2 linked regions of the Styela clava genome follow. The protein of the gene in region 2 interacts with the protein of the main gene of each other region in a pairwise test. Links are inferred from orthologs where the notes say so. Each region holds a gene or a part of one and is shown on either strand. Other genes may lie near its edges.

The links. The genes of interacting proteins can lie anywhere in the genome.
Region 1: the proteins of DNA repair protein RAD51 homolog A (region 2) and SUMO-conjugating enzyme UBC9-B-like interact in a two-hybrid assay, tested with the Caenorhabditis elegans proteins (2 studies listed by BioGRID). The link is inferred for Styela clava from reciprocal best matches to the Caenorhabditis elegans genes rad-51 and ubc-9.

The regions. Positions count from the first base shown.
Region 1 is NC_135259.1:1,891,167-1,899,375, forward strand, and holds the start of SUMO-conjugating enzyme UBC9-B-like, read right to left. Parts: upstream 3,201-8,209; 5' UTR 2,999-3,200; coding exon 2,933-2,998; intron 2,594-2,932; coding exon 2,530-2,593; intron 1,866-2,529; coding exon 1,846-1,865; intron 1,417-1,845; coding exon 1,234-1,416; intron 110-1,233; coding exon 30-109; intron 1-29. UniProt on the Caenorhabditis elegans protein: Accepts the ubiquitin-like protein smo-1 from the aos-1-uba-2 E1 complex and catalyzes its covalent attachment to other proteins with the help of an E3 ligase such as gei-17.
Region 2 is NC_135264.1:10,477,792-10,486,023, forward strand, and holds the start of DNA repair protein RAD51 homolog A, read right to left. Parts: upstream 3,214-8,232; 5' UTR 3,090-3,213; coding exon 3,009-3,089; intron 2,683-3,008; coding exon 2,545-2,682; intron 2,016-2,544; coding exon 1,898-2,015; intron 1,817-1,897; coding exon 1,725-1,816; intron 1-1,724. Other genes in the region: nucleotide sugar transporter SLC35B4-like, read left to right, coding at 3,830-3,909, 4,249-4,362, 4,689-4,791, 5,048-5,167, 5,769-5,936, 6,530-7,024.

The sequences.
Region 1 (8,209 bases), on a different chromosome or scaffold from region 2:
AGGGGGAAAAGAATGTGTCATATAATTACCTGTATGCTGAATAAGCTTCAGCTTGTGCTGGGTCGTTTATATTTGGCTCAGTCAGCAGATCTTGGATGCCAAGTAATATCTAAATTATGATACAAAATGCAAAATAAAAAAAGGGCCCAGATTGTTTTATTGAAGTTTTTTTGCAATTTGTAAAAATCTAATAAAATGAGTAATGTTAGGGTTACGGCATTCAGGTTAGTTGAGAAAATTTAGATTTCAATTTTTACTAAACCACATTTTAGACACACTAAACGCCATAACCAATATATAAATTTCAAACCGCTTAAATCTCAAGAATAAACTTGTATCGCATTGATTACAGTCAATGAAATCAGTATAATCTACTCATCTTTTTGATGTCGTCATTTGTGTTTTACAAAAATAAGTTTTTGTACATGCGTTTTGATTGAACGTCATTTTTATGCTGGGAGTGTACCTATTTCAAGGTTGACCTATTTTCAAGGTTGAAAAAAGACAATGAAACAGGCAGAATCAGCTAATTTTGAGTTCACCATGCTCATTTCACAAAGCAAGATAATTCAAATAAATGTCACATTGCGAAAAACTGCAAGCATTTTAACCACCATATTTTACAGACCATAAGGTGCACCGAATTATAGTGAGCACTCACAATAAATGCGGCGCGGCGGTGTGGCTCAACGGGCTAAGCGTTAGGAATACGCTCGCCACCGCACCTCTAATTACTCTGCGTGGGTTCACAGGTTCGAATCCCATGCAGGGATGATTATGTGCGAGAGGATTGCTGGACTCCTCGCCGTCGTTGGGTGGTTCACTGACCGCTGTTCGGTTACGGCTTCCTCTACCACCAAGTCCATGCTTCCGAAAACAAACAGTATAACTAATCCCATACCTGACTTGGAATGGTAACCGGACGAGAGGCCGTGGTTCGCCAATGGATAAGCCATCTTATCGACTTTCCTCTCCCCCGGGATAAATATGTAAATCCTATCCTATTCTATCCTAAATTACTCAGGTTTTTTCATACATAAGGCACACTGTGCATAAGACGCAACCATTACAAGTACTATCTAGTTTTGAGTGTACGCAATAAAGTACTACCTGTTCCATATATTATGCGCACGATCGATTTTGAAGAAAAAAAAGGTGCCATATGGTCCGTAAAATACGGTAGAATGAATTGGGATTGATAGGATTCCAATTGGTGAATCACCAATGCCTAACCTGTTTAATGGTGATAGCAGGTCTCCAATCCTTTTCTTCATCCAGAATAGAAAGACAAACAGTACCAGATGGATAAACATTGGGGTGGAACAAGGGAGGTTCAAACTTGCATTTAGGTGGTGAAGAAGGATAATCATCTTTGAATATAATTTTCAGCTTGTATAAACCACCTTCCCACGCAGTCTATGGATATAAAAAATGTTAATGTTACTTCACACTACGATGTCAGGAAATACATTATTACCATTACATGAAAAAAACCACTTGTCACAATCATATAACATCCTACACAATTTCTTCGAGACAAGAATATTCTAACAAAGCAATAGTACAATGGAAATGCATCAAAACTTGCATTTATTGTATTCACTTAAATTTCATGTGTTGCTTCGCTTGCGTAGTTCAACGCGACCATTTTCATAGTCAATAAAGATATAGTGGTATTAAGGTTTCAACAAGTTATTCAATATAGATTCGCATACTGCCCCTTGCTTTGTTGGTACAATCACTCAATACAATACTGATACAGCTTAAATAATTATTAAATATAACATCTCAATGCCAAAAACATTGTCCAGTAGCCAATGGCTTGAATATGCAATGATAACTTACCCCAGCCTTTCCAGGAATTGCTGAAAAATAATAAAATAGATTGAAAAATTTTTTTTATTGGGTAGAAAATGGAACAAGATGATTTTTAAAAGATAAGAGAAAGAGATTTTATTCCCACAAAACAATGTTAAAAAAGAACAATAGTATCCGATTTTTTTGTATAGAAATACAGTGCTGTGAATACTTGAACATTGAATTGTGTTGGTTAGTATGCAACAAGACCTTTACAGGTCACTGAGACTCCTGACCATTTTATTTACTCTGTGATCAAACTGTCAGTATGGATTATCACAATATGAAATTATAAAATAAAGACAGAAAATGAGTCGGCTGATAAATAATTATTTATTTTTTCTACTAGCCGACACTTTACATCAGATTTATTGTATAGTTCAGAGGGCATGTGTAAAATTGTGTATATATTATATTACACTTTGATCAAGTACAATACTGATCCCATCCACAGAACCTGGTTCCGTGTAGATTCATTATTTTGTCAACCAAAATACAAACAGTCATAAATACAAATGAAATGTAACATAAATGAAAATTGCTTTGATAAGACAACTACGACTTACCAATAAGGTAATATAACCAAGCAGTTACTAATTCCAAGTAGAACATGATATTTATGACAATTTTGAACTAAAATTTCAGGTTATGATATCTGAAACAATATCTCACCACAATCCCATGTCATCAAATTGAATGTTCCATCTGGATTCTTCACTGGTCTTGCCACAAAACCCTATATAAGAGAAAAATTTGAACCCAGCAAAAAAACATTTCTTTCTCACATATTTTTGGACATGTTCATGGTTTATTTATATTAATATTTGAGTTATTGATTCATTAATCTTACATTCATACATACAATAACGCTAAATGCCCTATCAATCCCAGCCCTCATATCGTAATGCTAATCAGAAATTGAATAAGTGAAATTTCTCTTTCACAAACGAGAAATAAGTCTAATGTAGGCCTACTAAGTATAAGCGATTTCTGAGAATATTAGCTTTAAATAACCAGAACATGATTACAAAAATGAATTGTCAGATTGCATTTCAAAATATACAATAATTCTCACAAAAGGGTGGTCTTTTCTCCATGCCTTTCTTTCTTCTGACAATCTAGAGGGGGCAATTCCAGACATCGGTAAGGTGGATTATAGGACTCAAGCAATAAACAAATAGCAGAGTTAGGTGGAAGTTTTTTATTGAAATTCACGCTGAGAACACTCCAGTCTAACCTCGATTGGCATACGTCATGTAAGCAGACTACTCAATCCGCAAAAAAGTCTTTGCAGTGCAGCAGTATACCGTATATTATTTAACTGTTAGTTAGGTAAAATGAAGTCATGATAATATTAGCTGTTCATGAGATTAGATGACTTCTTTGAATAAAACAAAAATAGGACTGAAAAATGAACACTGTAATTCAGTCATCGGTTTTCTGATTTTAATCAAGGCAAATATACTCTACTTAATATTCATCAGACATTTTCTTTTTCTGCACACTTTTATATTACACTATCCAGCTATCAGCAGCAGTCTGTCCATTTGCATTTTTATGTTACCTATATTCACGTATTACTACTACCGGTATATCTGTATATTATACTTGGGGAGGAAAATAATCAAAATGTAATGAAATGTTTATGTAAAATCTAAGTGATCTGCTTAATCTATATCAGTCATGAAATCATTGTGCACTGAAGTAACACAATACTGCAATAGGTAACAGAATAAATTTCTCAGTCAATTATGGGAGATAACTTCAAATACATAGTCTACTACCAGTATGTTCCTCATGCACAACAAATTGCCATCAAAAGTGATTTTCTGAAAAAATTGTGATTTCTCTAATTGATTTATATTGCCACTGATACAAGAGGCAGAATAAAAATGTCAACAATAAGTATTTTTCTGTTTTGGTTCTACCACATAGGCTATATTTTTTATTTAGAATTGTTATCTTTGGTTTTAAGATAGGATTTACATTTTTATCCTGGTGGAGAAGAAAGTCGAAGAGACGGCTTAATCATACACCCGCATGCAGGCATGAGATTCGAACCTACGAAGGGCACCGTAATCACAGGCGCAGTGACGAGCGTATTCGTACTTCGTAGCGCTTAGAACGATGGGCCCCACCGCCAAGCCAGGTTTCATTCGCTCTCCTGATTCTGTGGCCAGTTTTTATTTGTTACTGTCAGAATAAATTACAGGTAGACTATACCTCTGTGAAGCTAGCAGCAAAACACGAAATTGTGACTGACAGAATCGCAGAAAATACCCACGCGTAAAATTAAATGTTCCCAATGATTTTTAAAAGAAAGTGTATATTTTGATTAGTTTCACAATAGCAATTAAGGCAAAACAATCATTAACTACACTCCTCGTATTGTTAATATATAGTAAACAAGCTAAAGCGACTGTTACAGTGCACACAATTTTTTTATAATTTTTTGAGAGATATTTAAAAATGACTGAATTTTCGTCGTGTAACATGGTCGTTTCATGAAAACCTCCAATAAAGGCAGCATTGCAACACCATTGGTGAAAAGTAGAAACCTCAAAGATTCGATTTCATTATGTCAGAACAGTCTCAGCACGTTTTGACTTGATCATATATAATACTAAACATAGCGTATATTCTTCTTGATCAGAATTTTCAATTTTCATATTTACCTTGTAAGTGAACACTATATGCACGTGGAACCTATATTCAATGTGTAAAAATATTCTGGCTGAAAGTGCTGCTAGCTTCACAGTGGTGTAGACTATACCTGTATACTGTACCGGTACGGTATTTTATCAATTAACGTTAGTACTTTTTCAATGCTTGTATGCCGCTCACAGTTTATGGAGACGGAACATACCGGTGTGAAGAAATATCAGACAGAATTCAGGAAATTTGGAGGAGATATAATTCAACATATTCATCCTGAGGAAGCAAGTGCAGTTTTAAGTATTCTGTGGCGTCTGTAGCTGCCGCAAAACCATGGCGGTATTTCTATTCCATGGCCGCTATGGCCAATCCTATCATGGTTAACTGATTAACCATGAACCTATGATGACGACTGACTTTTAAGCTGCCACAAACCAATGACGAGCTGCCGTTACCGCGGCAGCAAATCGAAAACCAATGGCAGGTAAAATTTTGCTGTCGTAACCACGATAGGTGGGCCGTAAAGACAGAGCTGTCCCTTATGATGACAAGGATTGGGTAAGTTGGAACGTTTTTCTTATGGATACAGTTTTGATGTATTTGGGGTTAGGGTTTAAGTAGATATAATTCCGCATGATCAATCAAAATCTGGTGCATGAATTTGTGAATATACAGTTAATACTGATTACTGAATAGCGCTATAAAACCGTGGCAAGAGATGCCGCGGTTCGTTCGTGGCAGGAGCTGCCATGAAGTGGTAACAACTGTGCCTCTGAGGAAGAGTATATAAGTATAATAATATAAGTATATTTTGATTTTCCCGCAAAAAAATCATACACCAAACACAAACAATGAACACACAGAAGATTGGGTTGGGAAAATCGGGGAAACTGGCAAAACCTTTATAAAGGTTTAATACATGCGTCAGTTTACCCACATTCAACACAAAAACATATATTCAAAATAAAAAAGACAAAGACACGAACGGGTATCATTCATTGTGGTGTATCATTCGGGCGTCAAACTTGTGTAACATAAACACTCGGTGGGTCCCAACAATGACATTAAACAACATGATGCGCAACTCCGGCATTTTTGTCCGAAGATCGTATTCGATAGCACGCTCCAATGCACATACTTGACGAGACGAAAACGAGCGGATGTGTGCTGCTTTCAAGGCGTAGCACGAATGGTGTTCGTGCCTGCTTTGACAGTTGTTGTCGATTTTAATGATATTTTTGAAAGTTGGGGTAAAAAGAAATCGGTAAAAAGTAAGGTGAATACTATTGTTGTATATCACACCCACTATTCGTCTAATCTCAATTTCCTATTATTTATTCACAGGACAACTATAGCAGACGGGGAGATATCAGAAGTCTGGCGACATATCAGTGACAGTGTGATTCCAAGAAATATAATGCAATTGAAAATAGAAAATTGCAATAGAAAAACAACCTATGGAGACATGCAAAGACATTTGACCCTCCGGTAGAGTTGTGTATGGCCCCCACATCCTGCAGGGCTTGAGGAAATTAACTAAAAATTCCAAAGCGTAAGATTGCATAAGCGGTCTTATTTGTAAAAAGGCACAAAACACGCCAGACATACTTAAAACAGCTTTGGTAATGAGGATTACGGGTACCTCACTGCACCTGTGTTATATTTGGTTCATCAACTTTTGGTAGTACTATAGAAGAAATTCCGGAAGGGGTATAATCATCATTCATGATAAAATACTATCATATATTTTTTGAACAACGTCAATCTAGACCAGGGATCTCAAACTCGCGGCCCCAGAGAACTTCCAGTGCGGCCCTCGAACGCTTAACAATAATTGTAATAGTATTTTGGAAGTTTTTTTTTTATCTAAATGTAATAGATTTTTCAAACCTTCTAAAGTGAAATTGATTATTCACACAGAAAACAATTTACTGAAAGTAGTTTTGGAATATTAATTTTTTTTGTCCACATTTTGACCCAATTAAGAATACACATCAAGCTAGCAAAAGAATACTTGAATAAAACACTTGAGTAATTAAATTAAACGCAAAGTACACGAAGAAGGTGGCATTTTCGAAGAAAATGGGAGTTGTCACATTTCTGCTCTTCACAAAATTCTGAAGCACATTGTTTAATTTGTCATATTTCCATCAATACAATCAAAAAACACAATAAGCTCAGCAGTCAATATGACAAATTCGAAGACCAACTTCGAACAGAAAATTTCCATGTGTTTGTATATTAATATAATTATACAACGACTTAGTTACTAAAAATCAATATCAATAATAATTCAAGCAATCCTATGCCACGCAATGTAGTGCAAAATGTCTTGTCGAAAAAATCTGTCATTTGTTTTTTTACTGATCTATACATGAAATGATAAAAGTAACTTTTTTGCATTACTGGAATTAATTAAACATTCGTAAAGATCCAGATAAACCCATGATCATGTGGCCTCGTTAGTTAGAGTTGGTACTATAAAATCATTTCAGACTGGCCTTAGTATGCTGGTGACACAAAAAAGATGCCAAACGCCAGGACGAATGTAATTATTAAAACATTGAGTTTATACTGTAGTATTTTTGTTAATTTTAGGTTCATATATTTAGATTAAGTTATTTTTAGTGTATGTATTATTCTTTCCTTATTCAAAGCTTGTTCAAAAATGATTTTGATGGTTGTACATAGAATTTTACGATTTTTTATAATAAATACTGTAACTTGCAAATGTTGCAATAATAGTGGAATGCAAATATTAATATGTAATTGCATTTGAAATTGAAGAAAATATTAAAACTTAATCCAACTGTTTAGTTGCATCACAATATATGTCACAAACTAAAACTATCTTAAAAATATCTTTTAAGTATACATTATCAAAAACTGTTTGCGGCTCTTTTTACAATTTTTAAAATGCAATGCGGCTCTCGAAAACCCATGAGTTTGACACCACTGATCTATTCTAGACGATTCAAGCATTGCTTTGGGAAATTATATCACTTCAATTAAATTGAAATAATCTCGCTATATTAAATACAAAATCGTTGCTATCATAAAGGTAAACCAATTCAGCCACTCGAAATATATTGGCCTTCACAAAGCAATGGAGGCAAAATTGAGAGTTCATGAGCTATGAACATTTGTTCTTTTCTTTGTCTTGAACTTTCCATACTCCACAGCCCCTATTAATTTTTTTTAATTTTAATTACCATGTGATGGTCATACATATCTTTAACTTGTATTTTCTGTCATGATGTATTATCTCAATGTGCCAAACTATTAATTTGTGTGCATATTTTGCTTCCAGATGACATAAATGTATTGTCATGTTTATTACCTCAGCTTGGAGTATTGACAAGAAAAAGGTGCCAGTAAATTAGGTAAAAAAATTTTCAACTCATTGTTATAATCAGAATTCACAATCAATAGGAATTATAAACAGCCAACAATCAGTGAGAATTATATGCGAAATCCCTCAGAATAAATTTGTCTAAAATCGGAGGAAGGCAAAAAATATAGGTAGTTTCCATTCACACAAGCATTTCAAGAAGACTTGCTCGAGCCAAACTAAATGAGCATCGTCAGGTGATCGGTAAGGCTGCAAGTTGAATTCAGCCCTGCAACCTCCTGCATAGAAGATAATATTAATTAGTGGGCTATGAGCTAAATTCCTAAATTTAAACAAACCTATCTA
Region 2 (8,232 bases):
TAAAAGCAAGAAGGAAATGTTCAAATATATGGACATAAATTTCCAATAACTTATTTATGTGATCTATGCAGTCTAAGTGAATTCGCTAAATGAAGGACAGACGCAAAGTAGGCGATCACATTTGACAAAATAAAAATGGTGTTTCTGTGAATTAAAATAAAACATGTTGCCAACAATGACTCAATGAAGCAATCCATATGTCAACTTCATGTCCAAAAATTAAAAAACTTCAACAAAAATATTCTTTTACATGTTGAGAGGGGAGCGATATTTTGGATAAACAATTGGATCTTTATTCAGCAAGGGTATACGGATTGTTAAACTAGGTGAATATGACAAAAGCAGACTTCAGAAAAAGCTGAGAAAAACTTGTGATGGGTATAAGTATAACAACATTCTGCATTTTTCGCTATCATTTTTAAAATTAGAATACACTAACTTATTCTATAATAATTTTTGTTACATGGAAATAGGTAACTTTTATTTGTTACGGTTAGGGCTGTCCAAGCGAACCAAATATTCGAAATAGAATCGAATCGCAAATTATTCGAATCGTTTTTCGGCTAATTTTCGAATCGCTAAAATTAGGTACCGGTACATAAAGCGGAAACCACCTTTACGGGATGTTTTTCATCGGGCAAGCGGCGGCGATCCGAGCTCAGACCACTCTCGCTCCCGGCTTGCTTAATTGGTTTCCCGATATTTTTCTCGCCTTCATTTTGTGATAAACATGTCATTACTAATGCCCGCCCGGTGGCACGTGATTAGCCATTTCATGCGTGGTCATCATAACAAGGTATAGTCGATCGTGACGTTTTTGAGAGAGAACAAGGAGAAAAAGGAGACAATTTAGAAAACGATAGTTCTATAAATAGAATCGATTTGAAGCTGTTGAGTTAGTTATCATAGGAACATGGTACAGGCAACTCAAAGCTGAAACAGGTGTTTTGGGATCCTTATGATGGCAATACCTTATTTAAATGGAATTTGTAATTTCTCATGATGGCATTACTGTATTATCCATCTATATACCAAGACAAATAATTGCACTCTTGCATTTTGATGGCTGTTGTACACTAACAATATTATAGTCCTCAAATAATATTGTCATCAAACTAGCTTGGAATTTTTAAATGCAATTTTGAACTTGAGCAACAGTTTTATCTATATTGATGGTTGTTATTATTTTGCTGAAATTTACACAAAAAAACATAAAGACTAGTGAATAGGATTAAAATAGCATCTACAAGCTTTATATGTCCTACTAAAACTGAATCCATCAAAATTGAGATTGCAATTTTTGAATAGTGCAATTTTTACTCTTAACACTCAACAGTTTTCGAGACCCAAATTTTGGAGTTCTCCAATTTTTTTGACCAGTTCATACAAGCGTGTGATCTCCTTTGATGTAACTGCACATACGTTACCACAACATCGAAGGGCAGGCGTTTATTGTATAATAGAGACAGATTTACTATTGGGCAATAATATTCGATTATTCGGTTCGATTCGGCGAAAATATTCGATTCGAATCAAAAAATTATTCGATTTTGGACAGCCCTAGTTACGGTAGATAAAAGTGCGACTAAAATGAGAAAAATGGAATAAAACTGTACTAAAAACTCACGCTAGTTGAATTGTGTATTACTATTAAATAAAATACAACTTATTATAGTTCAAAGAAGACATTAAAAAAAAAAAGTTTCCGCAATATAGATTCAGACCTGGCATGTAACAGCAATTGTGTGACAAATTTGTGATTTTCCTGTTCTGAATTCTCCGAAGAGTTCTGTTATCGATCCAGTCTCAATTCCACCTAAAAATAAGAAACACTTTTTAGACGAGACTCACGACTTCGTGTCGAACAAATCTCTGTACAAAAGTTTTTTTGATATACCTTGTAATAACTTATCTAATTCTTTTGATCCTGTAGTAACTTGGATTATTTCCGATCTCCTTTGATGAAATTCTGTCGCAGTTGTAAAACCCATCGGCACTAATTTCGCTGCTTCAAGCTAAAAAAATATATAAAGATTTCATGATCAGGGTCAAAGAAGATCTTGTAATGTTTCATGTAGAATACAGTAGGGCACAATTCGCTGATTGGTTAACAATTGGTTAATCTGAAATAAGGGTGTCTTGATCGACGACAGATGTGCCAGAATTCGCCATGCTTGTTTCAATAATAATTTAAATCAATGTCACATGATCAAAATTGTGTTTTTTTTAGATATAGATTGAAGATTGTGCTTCCTTCTGGTTTATTGCACAATACCGGTTTGCCAATTTGTGCCAGTATGGAGGCCCAGACTGTCTCATGAAAGAGGGGTTTGCATTCACTCTTATATTTAATGTCTTTCAATGTGGGAGCTATTCTTGAAATCAGAGAACTGTGCCGTAATGTTATATGATAGACTTATTGATAAAAATAAACAAATAAAATCGTTGTCATATTATTTAATTTTCACTTTTTCAACGTCAGAGTGATTTCCACATAAATATTTGACACATAATAGAATTTCAATGTCCTTTAATAAATTTTACCGTTAATTTCTCAGCTTTTGCTTCACTTATTCCTTTTACTCCAACAAGTTCCTTCTTCGTAGCATAAGCAAGTGCTTCCACAGAATGGTATCCATTTTCTGAAAGTTTCCTTATATCACTTGCACTTATTCCACATTGCTAAAAGAGATAGATTTTGCATAATGTGGTATGCGGTTGTGTAATCTCAATTTATGATAGGCCTATTTTAATTTTATAAAGTACCTTTACCGGTATCCAGATAATGCAGTATTGATAAAATCATAATTTAAGAATTGATTTTAAAAAACGATTTTCTCCGACATTTCTGATATAGAATAGTTGAAAAGTCAAAAGCCATTAATTTTCTTGTTAAATTTGCTATTTAACCTATTTCTGTTTTTTTTCTCTCGAATTCAGGGCTTGCCAGTATTTGCGAATAGAACAATATGAAAATTTCTTGATTTACGGTAATTAACTCAACTTACCTCTAATTTTGCGATGGGAAGTGGGCCCATAACCTCCTCTTCTTCGGCATCTTCCTGTTGTTCGTGTACTTGCATTGCCATATTTACTGAAATAAAGGTTTGCGAACGACGCCTGCGATATCTCAGAATACAGAAATACTAAAATAAGACGAGACGATTTACCAAAACAAATCTCGCGCTTTAGATCCACTGAACCATAACAATTATTTTGACCAAACTTTTCGTAAACTTAAGAAAAAACAACGTTTAAATATAACTTGTACAGTCCTTTAGTTTGATTTAACATAGACAGACCAAATAGTCACACAAAAAAACGGTGTTCATATGTGTAAGTTTTTTTTTACAATTGTGAGATATTTCGAGTATTGTAAAAGTAATGTAGCAAACGCCGTAGGGAAGTACTTTTCTTTTATATAAAATATTTATAAAACATTATAATAATGAACAACATAACATATTTATCATTTTTTTTATTGGCGGTTTTCAACAAAACGTCTTTTTTTACGTAATTCATAATAAATTTTCCCCGAGGATGCCAGTATCAAGAACTATGACGTACAGTTTCGATATTTATTATTTCGTGCCAGACCGTCTCGTTGTTCAGACGAGTTTCGACGCCGGAAGTTTACGTGTCCAGTTGTATTTCGCGAGATTTTTATATTGTACCAGCGTTCAGACAGCTATAACAATGTATTTTTCTTCGCAGAACAGCATGTAGTTGATAATAAAAACATATATAAACATAGCTAATTGTTACAAATTTAGGAGCACGGAATATCTTTCGTTTTATATTACTGTAGCCTATCACTTCTTCACTCGTCATGTTCGAAATGTATTTTGCCGTTGGAGTTCTTCTTGCCTCGTGTTGTACAAATGTAATTTTTCTTGAACACCTGATAAAGTGAGTGTATAACTTTTTTGGCTAGAGTTATTGAATTTTGATATTGTGTACCGGTATGCAGGTATGGCAGTATGGTGAATTTTATGCTTGGATGAATCTGTATTTATGATTGTAGTATTCTGTTTGTACTTACTGTTTGAAGTTTTATAGTTTGGTCTAATCTTTCTTTTCTGTAACATTGCCTATGGCATACTTTTATATATATCACATCTTTCTGTGCTAAAGCAGCCAGAGCTTTGATTTCCCTTTGTGTTATCTGGCTAAGTTACACAGCTTTTAACTCAAACTTTGTATTTTATTTAAATAAGAATTCACTGAAATTTAACTTTCATTTTTCAGAGCTTCACCTGATAGTGGAAATATCCTGCTTTTTCTTCAATTTTCCTTTATTGCTATAGAAGGTTTTATTGCTAATCGGAAGTTCGGATGGGAAACTAGACATGTTCCTTTAAAGTATGTGGCTTTTTTGCTTTTCTTATTGTGCAAAGTAAAGAAAGACAGAATCAAATAGGCCTATCGATAAAAAAAAAAAGTTATAGCTAAACTCTACTTTGTCGTCATGATTTTACTTATATGGTGTATATTCTCAAAACAAGAAAAAAGTCTCAAGTAATTGCCTCCTATATAAAATGTAATTTTACAAGCATTTTTTTAAACTTTAATGGCTTCATACTACTTGATCACAGTCTTATCCAGAGACATATATCTGTATATAGAAGCACCCCAAAAAAACAAATTTTAATTGTAACAGAAAATAATTCAATTTGTCTTATATTTAGAAACTATGTTGTCATGGTTCTACTGTTCTTCACAGCCAGTGCTACTAATAATATGGCATTAGGTTTCAATATACCAATGCCTCTTCATATGATTTTTAAATCTGTAAGTATAACAAATATGATAATTATTATTCTTTCTATTGTTATCAAGCGAGTAGTGTGCATCATATTTACATTACCGCCCATAAAGTTTCTAAGTTGCTAAAAGATAAGTTTCTAATTCTTAGGCACGAACATATACATACATAGATTTATGAAGTTCCTTCCATTAAAAAGCGATTATTGAAACGTCTGGTCAGTTATGGCTCCATCCACTATATGGACAGTCTATACAATTTTTTATATTTTTTTTCTCTCAGGGTTCTCTTGTAGCGAACATGTTTCTTGGTGCTTTCTTATTGAAGAGGTCGTACTCATCTCAAAAATACCTTTCAGTTGCATTTGTGTCACTGGGTATATTGATTTGCACTTATGTTACAGTAAGTTATGTTTATGAAGATTGAATGCTTGAATAATATTGCTCGACTATAATTAGCATTGACCAACTGCAGCTCTTTTTTGGATTATTGGACTTGGACATGTACGAGGCCCGGCCTATAAATTGTTTTACTCAATGTAGTTGTTTGTCTCTGATTCTAGCAGACCAATCGATATTTTAAATTTTCAACACTTTAAGATGGCTATCACCATACTTTTTTTGACATTTTCATGAATCCTACACAGACCTCAATACTGTCCCAAATATTGAGTATTTCTCTCTTTTTTTGCTACGAATATAGCCTACCTAGTTGTATGTAGCGTGTATCATTTTTGTAATTACGTTATCTGTACGCTATGATTTTATTTTGTTATTTTGATTTCTTCATTACCATAATTTGAGATACGTATTGGCTATTTTCAAGTTTAATGGAAATTCAAATTTTAAAATAAAGTTTTCTATAACTGAATGAAGTGTGTAGCCGACAAAATGATTGACAATCATTGGATTTCCGGTACATCAATTTGAAATATGATTTTTTATATACTAAACATAAATTTCATATCTTTATAAGTATTGCTAATGTTGACATTATATCTAAGAGTGTTTCAAAGGCCACCACAATGTCTAGTCATTCAACTGATGCTTCTACATTAATTGGAGTCATATTTTTGACAATTTCACTCATTGTATCTGCTGGAATGGGAATTTATCAAGAAAGTATCGCAATCAAATATGGGAAACATCCAAGAGAAACTTTGTTTTACAATGTAAGTGATACGATTACTGAGTTATTGATTAATAGTTGTTGGACATAATCTTAATTAATAATGAGGTCGGTCAAATAATGAACGTAGGTGCCAATATCTGATGGATATTTTTTTATCATAATTCCTAAGAAACAAACATGCCTAGTTTGAGTTCACCAACTTATTTGACCTTTGACAATATATGGAACACCACTGTTCGTTATTCTCAGAAGTCTACATATGGATTGTTTGCTAAATTATTGTTGTTGCTGGGGACAAAAATGCCTTTACCACATTTTCTATATTTAATAATAATGAAAGAAATTGCTTGAAGGCTTTTACTTTTTTTTTGCTGTTTCACTCTGCTTTGTTTGACTTCCTCCATAAGTTTGACCGCGGATCTTTTCAGCAAACTCTGTGATCTCAAGCCCTAAAGTACCGGTACTGATGTGCAACAATGTGTATTTATTTGAGTATTGATCTCTTGCACATTTTGAAATGAGACTCGTATTTTTCCATGATAAATACTAAAATAAAAGAGAGATCATGTATATATATTGTATTACTGCTATCTTCATTATGTTTTATTAACAGAAAATAAATTATTTTCACAGCATGCTCTACCGTTACCATTCTTCCTGCTACTCGTACCAAGCATTGCGCGGAATTTAGAAATATTCAATCAATCACCTCTTGAGCCGGTGCCATTTTTTACAAACTTTCTGAACACTGTTTCAGAGTCAGTTTTATCTTTTCAAATGAATTTAGAAATTCCAATTTTGTGGCAATACGTCATCATCAATGTTGTGACGCAATACTTTTGCATTCGTTCCGTATTTTATCTCGTTACTGAATGCACTTCGCTAACGGTTACGCTGCTGATAACCCTACGTAAGTTCATATCGTTGCTGTTTTCAGTGCTGTATTTTCAGAATGATTTTACTTTTTATCATTGGATAGGGACATCATTCGTTTTCGCTGGCAGTTTAATGTATTCGGATATTTTTAGAATAAAATCTTCTACTGTAACCACGTTTAATAACAGCAAAACATCGAAAAATGGTATTAGTAATGGGTATCACAAAAACGGTCATACAAAGGTGGATTGAATCTTGTATTAAACCAATGCCAATGATGCCTTATCTGTTCATTATGCTTATCAACACAGTTATATTTGTGTTAGAAAATTTCTACTTATGTGATTACCTAGAAATTATTATTATTTTTACTTTCTGCTCTTAACTATAATACGAAGATACCCTAATGTGGAAATAATTCTAACGAAGCAAAGCTGAAGCCATTTTATTATTTGTACATATTTTTGTTTTTAATATTATTATCATGTCATAAAGCACTGTGCTTATGCTAGTCTGCCAATGTAATTGTCTCTTTGAATTAAAAGGATTGTATATACAGTCAATTGAATTAATCAATGTATTATATGGTATATTTTATGTGATATATTTATTGTATCATGCCTGGTTTGATAATGGCTTCCCACTAGGATGAGAAATTCATTATTATTAGCCTATGTATTCACATGGAGATAATTTAATATGTATAGTTTTCAATCTACATTTTATTAACTTCTTTTGTTAGTCAGTAACGTTCTTTAAAATAATATTGCACAAGAGATGTTCACTATATAACAGGAATATCTTATCAAGGTCGGCCCTCTAGGCAAATTTAACTGACCCGCCTTGGTGGAATGTTTTATACCAGGGTATGCAACAGGTGGCCCATTTAGCCAAGCCATTTAGTGTGGCACTTGTCAACAATGAAATATACTCATTAAACATAAAATCCTAATCAGACGGTTTGTTTAAAAATTTGATCACATGGGTAAAAATACATGTTTTTTGTGGCTGCGTTAAATATTGTATTGTGATAATTTTTTTTGGTTGTATAGGATACATGGAAAAGCTAGATGTCTGATGTTGGTTATATGGCCCACTGAAAAATGTTGCACACCCTGTATTATACTGTCTATAAGTTGTGAATATTGTTTACCACAGATTGTCAACTCCATGCTTAACTGAATGTCACCATTATTTTAGGATCATACTATATTTATAATTAATAATAATATAACTAATGCTACTTTCATAATCATATTCCAATAAAATTTGGCTGAAAAGAATTCTGTGTTTTAATCCAAATAGTCTTCCTCATTTTTGTATACCTGTTACCATTGTACTGGAGACTATGCAGTGATTTTTATTATGCTTTTTCCCTAATGGTATTGTACGTTGGCTAGTCCTAGCGATAAGCATAACATCTGTTAGAATTACACTCTGAATAAGCCTACTAAGTGGAG